2 linked regions of the Nothobranchius furzeri genome follow. The protein of the gene in region 2 interacts with the protein of the main gene of each other region in a pairwise test. Links are inferred from orthologs where the notes say so. Each region holds a gene or a part of one and is shown on either strand. Other genes may lie near its edges.

Region 1 (4,139 bases), on a different chromosome or scaffold from region 2:
TCTCACCCTGGACACATCTTTTCTCCTTTCTTCTCATGCAGCAAAGCGCAGTCGTAACAGAAAACATGTTTGCATGGGATCTGAGGAGAGGGAGAGTCTCAGTCCAGAAAATGATTCAAAACCAACCAAAGGGAGCAAGCAAGAACAAAGTACATACCATCCGTCCATACAGCTGAATAGGGAGGCCACATTTGTCACAGAAATGAATTGGTACTTCATCCCGTTCACCAATTAAATGTAACTGTAGGGAAAGCAAATGGGTGGAATTATGGGTATCTGTCACTCAGACATACTCAAATCCAGTCACAAAGCTTTTATAGTCAAAGCAAAACAACAGTGTACACTAACCCAAGGTCAATGGACAGCTTTATTATATATATATATATATATATATATATATATATATATATATATATATATATATATATATAAAACAGAAAGTCACTATAATAAGATGATGTCAGCAAACCCACACTGACGTACCTTATAGTCCCAAAATAGGGGTTGTGGAAATCTCCGCTGGCTTGCAAACACATCGCCAGCTTTGGTGCCACAATCAAACCTTTCCTCTTGCTTAAAGTTGAATTTATCTACAAAATATGAGAAAATAAGTATTATTGTAAAACTGAAAAGAGAAAGTCAATAAAACCCTGATTAATAAAAGCAGATTTTGTTGTTTAGAACTCAATTAGTCAACTGATAGAGCTGGGGCAAAATGTTTCAGATTGAAATTTTCAAATTGCAGTATTGTGGGATTGTGTAAGTGTGCAGTACTCGATGTTTAAGGAATGTGCTATGTGTATTATGTACAATGCATAATCAAAGGTCATCTGTTAAGAGTAGTATGTAATGTGGAGATTAGTATGGTTCTGTGTAGTTTTTCCTTTTTTCAGTTATACTAACCGAAGTGCAACTTTTTTGACCTAATGACAAATTTCCCAATTGAGACAATAAAGTATATTCTAATGAATAATGGTTAATTCTATAAGTTAATATACAGCAAAATCTGTCTCACCCTCAGAAGAAGGGTTTTGGTCAGGTTCAACAAAACAATGTTTATGATTACTAACTGAGGTGTATAAATCAGTTTATTTTAAAAGCATCTGTCTAAATAGTTATTTTTAAGGCTCTGCATTGGAGCAAATGACTGATTAGTGGATTCTGCTGGGAGCACAGTCCAGCCAGAATTGTGCAGTTCCTGCAGCACAGAATCAACATGAACCATAAAAAGATTCAACCTCCAAATTAAAATTCTACAGAAAATGTTGTGACTATAACCCCGATCAGTTTACTTTTTAAAAGTTTAAAGAGCAAGTCACCCCCTACCAGAGTATTACTCCACTCCCACTTCTGATTTGAAAAATGCAACAAATGTTGTTGCCTAGCAGACTGAGAGGGCGGAGCTGCTAACAAATACACACACACACACACACACACACACACACACACACACACACACACACACACACACACACACGCTCACAACGACATTGTGACATCATATGGTACCAGCTAACGTTGTAGGATACCTCTTAGCCAATAGCGATGGCAGATTTAAATTCAAATGCAGTGCAGAGTTTTTACCTGACAACGGCACAACACTGACAGTTTTAGTCAGAAAATTAAAATTTTAACTAAAATGCACTAAAGTGCCAAACTATTGACTACACATGTCTGCAGCACAATTTATATAGTTTATCACACAAAAAGGTTGATTTGGGGGTGACTTGCTTTTTAATGTGCTCGGTAGCGTACCATCTTCCCCAGGTTCACTTTTGCAGGGCCTGGTGCCAGGCCTCTGCATCCGCTGCTGGGGCTTATTCCTCAAGGGCTGCTTGGAAATGAGCTTGATGGGGATTCGTCTGCGAACATCCAGTCCACCCAAACTTCCCGAACCATCGCTCCCTTGAAGATCACCGTCTGTACACACCGAATGCACAACCCAAAAAATAAAAACAAAAAACTGATAGCATCACACCATTAAGCACAATTATATTACATCTGCGTTCCAAAAGTTATGTAAATCTTTATTTGAAATGTACCCGACTGATGAGTTAAATAAGCAAACGTTTCTGTTCTTGTTCAAACTACTTTTTGGCGTGTTAATGTTTGGCATTTCTGCCTGCTGATGTGTCGGAACACTTTCCCTCATGTAATCAAAGTATAAATCTAACGGTTTGAAGAATAATGCTTATTATCTGTGACGTAAGTTTATCAAGAAAGTGTTTTTTATGGTAAAGAAAGGAGAAAATTCTCAAAACGAAGGCACATAAAAGGCGACAGATTGAAACGTTGACATATTTAAGAAATATTCCGAAAGAACACCAGGCTATTTTTATCCAACCGAAATTCAGTTTACCCTGATCTTTACTTGTGAGAATACTAAACACAAAGAAGGTCTCGGACATCAATAAATAATCTGAGGACGAGCAACAAAAACGAAGTTACAAACCGTTAGCCAAAGAATTAGCTAAGCGCTAAAACAGGGTAAGGTAGGCTGTACAACGCTATCGCTGGATTTACACCTAAAATCAAACTAATCACATTCGGCACAGGAACCGAACACACCTCCAGTTAACGTTACAACTAACTATTCCAACTGACTTAGAACTTAAGGGTTAAATGGTGAACTGACGTCCTTTAGCACAAATCCACAGCTAACCTAAACCGTAACGGAGCATTTCAGAGGCACCAAGCTCCAACAGCAAAGCCGGATTCCTGGAAGGTTGTTCGTAATAATTTAAAGAACTACTAGAGCAGCAACTCTGGCGGCAAAACGAAAAAATAAGCCACAAAAACAAACTTTGACAACAGAGGGCCTACTTAGCGTTTAGCTCACCACTTTGGTCCATGATCCAACCGGATCCAACGAGTGAGCGCAATGCATTGTGGGTGGCCGGGGGGGGGGGGGGGGTCCCTTGAATTCTGTAAAGATGATATTTATAAACATACAATATTAAGTAATTCGTTCATTAAAATAAAACCACTTTTCTGATCTTTGTAGTATAAACTGAGCAGTTAACTTCGCATGCATAAATAAAAAAAAACTAACACTCTGTAAAAGTGTCAAAATTGTTGCACTTCTAAATGAAGTAAATGCATTTTAAACTTTTCAGAACAGCATTTAAGCTAGTAGTCTAATATTTTGGTATTGGCATTTTTAATTTAATCAGATTATATGCATCTTCATTCATATCACCTTTAATTTCAAGTTAAACTGGTGTTTTTAAAATCTCTTATTTCTGACATATATCGCATAACGTCTCGATAATTTTGACTTCATGTGTTTGTTGCGTTACTGCATAATGAGTTTGTCTCATAATTTAGATCTTGTTTTAATTTGAGCGTCGTTTTGTCGCATACATTTGCACAATTCCCACAAGCGCTGTTAATGTACCATTTTTAAAAGTAAGAGACAATTAAACGAGTCAGAAATTACATAATTTACAATTAAGATGCTTGAACCCCATGTGAGTGAGCTCTGATGTTTTGCGAAGCAGTGAAGCTGATGCTCGTCCCCGTGTGCCGCGCGCTCTCATCGTACAATGTCGCCATTTTGATTCGAAATTTATGACTGAGTTTTTCTTGCTTTGCATGTTAAACTTAGCCCCGCGTTTGAATTACTTAATGCGTGAGTACAAACCATGCCCTGTCTATCAGAAAGGACACGTATCGCTTTTTATTTTTAGAGGAAATTAACGTATGGACCTTGCGTATTTAACAGTTTTGCAGCCACATCTGACTAACGTTAGCGAAGTTGAGCTAGCTTACGTTAGCCCGTGCTTCTTCAAAACAAATCACTCACAGGCTAACGGATGTTAGCTAAGCTACCACGGCAAGCTACGTTAGCTACATCGACCTAATAGCTGGCTCTTGACTATAAAACCCACAAATATCCAACAGAAAAGGAAGCAACAGCGGCGGACTTTCCATCAAAGGTTAGTTTTTGTCTTAAAATAATCAGTCTTTTTAAGCAACTTGCACATTTTAACTCTACTGTTCCAACGACGAAGTTATACCTAAGTTAGTGACCTGTTCAAGTTTGCTTTTGGCTCTACACTAGTCAACTGTCGTCAGCTAATTAGCTCTAATGCTAATAAGAAGAAGGGAGGAACTAGTTTACATTTGCTAAATTATTA
Region 2 (3,500 bases):
AAAGGTTTTCATCAAACCTTAAATCCTCTTCACCATACACACACCTCTCTGTTTTGAGCTGAAACCAGGTTAAATACAGACAAGTTAATTCTAATCAGATTTCTTACATGACCGTCTGTTTGCGCGCCGTGTCCGGGTCTGAAGCCGTGTACACCGTCACCCCACTGCCAGGAAGAAGGCTCTCAGGTTTGGCCACATGCTTCTCCGTGGGATCGAATATCGGAGGTTCGTTGATGTCGAGGACCGTGACTGTGACTGTTGCAGTGGAGGTGGGCACATCATTAACAAATGGAACCTCGTTCTCCACTGAAACCATCAGAGTGTATATGCTGGTCATCTCATAGTCCAGACCCTGGTTTAATGGAGGAGGAGGAGACACCACACAACAGATAAGACACTAGGAGCTCATTCAGCTGATGGAAGGTTTCCACCGCAGGACTCAGAGGCCAAAACAAAAAACTGCTGAGGCTGTGCTGCGGTGTCGGAGTCAGGGTTACCCAACACTGGGTGTCCCCTTCAAGTTCCGCCTTTACACAACAAACCAGATGCAGTTCTGGCTCTAAGTGAAGCTTTACTTTGTTACGGAGAACTCTGTTGCACCTACCTTAACGGTATAAAGAATTCCTTCCTGTTTGTTGGCTCCCGTTTTCACAGCAAAAAATCCTCCGGCATCTCCGTCTACAATCGTGAACTTGGCGTTCCAGGCTTGAGTGTGTGGATCGTCTCCGTCCGTCACCGACATTCTAACCACCACAGCATCCACTTTATTCTCTTCAACTGATGATTTATACTGAAAAGTTCAGAAGGTTCTAGATTAGCTCCACTTTAGGGTCATCGTGTAGTAGTTTGATTGTTTTGACTGCAGCAGCACAAACTGGACTGCTCAAGCTACGCTAAAACTGTTCATTTACAAAGTTAAACTTCCTGTCAGCTGTTAAAATCAACACTAGTAAGTTACAGAAATGATCCTGATGCACGAGTAGGTCTACATGTGTTGTACTTACTGAGGACTGTGTGAAGACTGGAGGAAGGTCGTTGCTGTCCGTTACCTTGAGTATTACTTTGGCCTCAGTAAACAACCCTTCTCCCTGTGTGTCTGCAGCTCGTACCATCAGTGTGTACTGAGGGTATTTCTGTTGGATAAAAGTGACGTTAATCTGCAGTAATACACCATCGCTTCAGTTTATAAGAAAAGTCACAGACTAACGACTGCTTCATAAAAGTCTTGGATCTCCTGTAAACTCGGATGCCTCTGACCTTACAGTGGACAATTAACCAAATAGTTGGCCTTTGGTAGGCTACATCAGCACCTAAAGTTTATCCCTAAATTTTCATAAGAAATGACGAAAATGATGCAGGAGGGCATTAAACACTTGTTTTAGCATTTTTAAACAAATATTTTCACTAGCGGTGGGCATAGATTTTTAATCTAGATTAATTTCACTGTAATCTTGGAATAATCTAGATTAAAATGGTTTGTTTGAATTCCACCAAAGGCATTCCTAATGTGTGTGTGCTACTTAAATAACTAAAAGGAAGCATTTGAGAGCAAGTTTCCCAAGCCAGGAGGAGCATTAGTCCAGGGGCTTATCTCCCGTTTCCAAAAGCATCACAAATCGAGAAATCTTGAAATAAAAACACATCTAAAAACTTTGCTATTCAAGTAACGTTTCACATTCAGAACTTATTTTTAAATAGCACAATAAAACTATGCCCACGTCATCTTTAACGCCAGTTCAAAGCGATCTAGAGAAGTTGTCGGTGTGGCCAATCTGTAACTTTCATCTTCAGCCGAAAGAACCAACGACAAGCTGGATAAAATCTGTTGCTGTAAACAATCTGTAAACAACTGCTGCAGCGGTTCCTTTCAGAATAAAAGCTGAACCATCACGACCCCGTTTTGGGTCTTGTTAGATGCCGATAAACTGTTGTGACCCGGAAGAATCTCAAGACTGGTGGTCGGCTGCCGCGGCTGTTTCCACAGGCTTCGGCTCCACAAAGGTCAAGCTGGACCTCTACTAGGGTTGTCACGGTAACCGGTATAGCGGTAAACCCCGGTAAAAAAGTTGACAATAAAAATAACCGTCCAGTTTTTAAAAAACTATATTATCTCGGTGGGTTTACCGTGGCCGCGGTTTCGGCGCGATGACCCTTACCAGCCACCGTCGCTTCAGCTGAATTTCCCGCGGCGCGCACACGCACTTTTTAGTTTGCAACGGCACCAAAACTTTGAAGCTGAAATAATGGCCGAAGGAGGAGACGGCAGCGCCCAGGACATCCATCAGCCCTCAAAGAAGACTAAATCGGAAGTATGGGCATATTTTGGATTTCTGAAAATTGCTGAGGGACAGTTAATGGAAGACTGCTATCCCGTTTGCAGAACGTGCAGGAAAAGTGTCTGCAAAAGGCAGCAACACTTCGAATCTAATGGCACATGTGTGTGACCATCACCCACGTCTCTACAGCCAGTGCAAGGTAAGTTAACATTAGCATTTTAGCTTAAATGCATGACGTGAGGACTTTTGGTTGAGGGAGAATACAACGAGTCACTATATACTGCAGCCGCAGCGCCCTCTGCCAGCATTTAAACCGTGTCACGGACACCCTGTTGCTGGATGAAGCGTCTTATTTGTTGATGATGAAGAGAAATATACAATTAGTTCTTTGTCATTGATTTGTTTACTTATTCAATGCCATTTATACTTGAACGTTTGGATTTGATTACATAGTGTAGTAGTTATTTTAGTAATTTGTTTAAAGTGGCTATTTATTTTAAATACATATTTTTTAAGGTTGACTTGTACAGTGCTCAAGTCAAGTGTGGACTGGAGTTTTAGATTTTCATTTTGATAATGAAGAAAACAAGTATATGAGAAAACAAGTGGTGTTTCTTTGATTTGTTTACATATTGTTTATGTTTCGAATGTTTGGATTTGTAAAATTTAAACCTGCACTGACTACTGTAACATGTTCCAGAAAAATTTGTTCCTTTACTTGTGAAAAGTTGCACTTTTGCTAAGGCTTTGTGTTATTTTAGGTTTAATAAACACTGTTGAACCTTTTCAGAACTATTTCAGTTTGTGTAGAACAGGACAATCAATGCTTTCTGAACATATGCAACACAGTTTAAAAAATACCGCGATAATACCGAAAACCGTGATAATTTTGGTCACAATAACCGTGAAGTTAAATTTTCATACCGTGACAACCCTAACTTCTACACCTCCTGATCTAGACGGGGACTTCCACTAAGGGTATGTGGACCGACAAATGGCGTCGAATGTGTTTATGAATCTCCTAAACAAAGTTTAGCGTGAAGACATCACCTTCATTTCCCACCAGAACTAATAGTTTCTTCAGATTTGCTGGTTCTGAACATTCCACACTACACCATTCTCTGTCTCATTTCACCTTAGTTACACCATACATTTAGTGTTTAAGTGAGTCTAATTTGTTTAGTAATAAATCTTTAAACTTTTAAAACTTGACTCTCTTCTGTT

The links. The genes of interacting proteins can lie anywhere in the genome.
Region 1: the proteins of B-cadherin (region 2) and E3 ubiquitin-protein ligase Hakai interact in a two-hybrid assay, tested with the Homo sapiens proteins (2 studies listed by BioGRID, with this or other methods). The link is inferred for Nothobranchius furzeri from reciprocal best matches to the Homo sapiens genes CDH1 and CBLL1.

The regions. Positions count from the first base shown.
Region 1 is NC_091741.1:57,567,327-57,571,465, forward strand, and holds the start of E3 ubiquitin-protein ligase Hakai, read right to left. Parts: upstream 2,801-4,139; 5' UTR 2,682-2,800; coding exon 2,663-2,681; intron 2,624-2,662; exon of another isoform or gene 2,453-2,623; intron 1,921-2,452; coding exon 1,732-1,920; intron 591-1,731; coding exon 484-590; intron 242-483; coding exon 158-241; intron 81-157; coding exon 7-80; intron 1-6. UniProt on the Homo sapiens protein: E3 ubiquitin-protein ligase that mediates ubiquitination of several tyrosine-phosphorylated Src substrates, including CDH1, CTTN and DOK1. Targets CDH1 for endocytosis and degradation.
Region 2 is NW_027223037.1:4,231,160-4,234,659, reverse strand, and holds part of B-cadherin, read right to left. Parts: intron 1,134-3,500; coding exon 1,005-1,133; intron 791-1,004; coding exon 605-790; intron 353-604; coding exon 108-352; intron 1-107.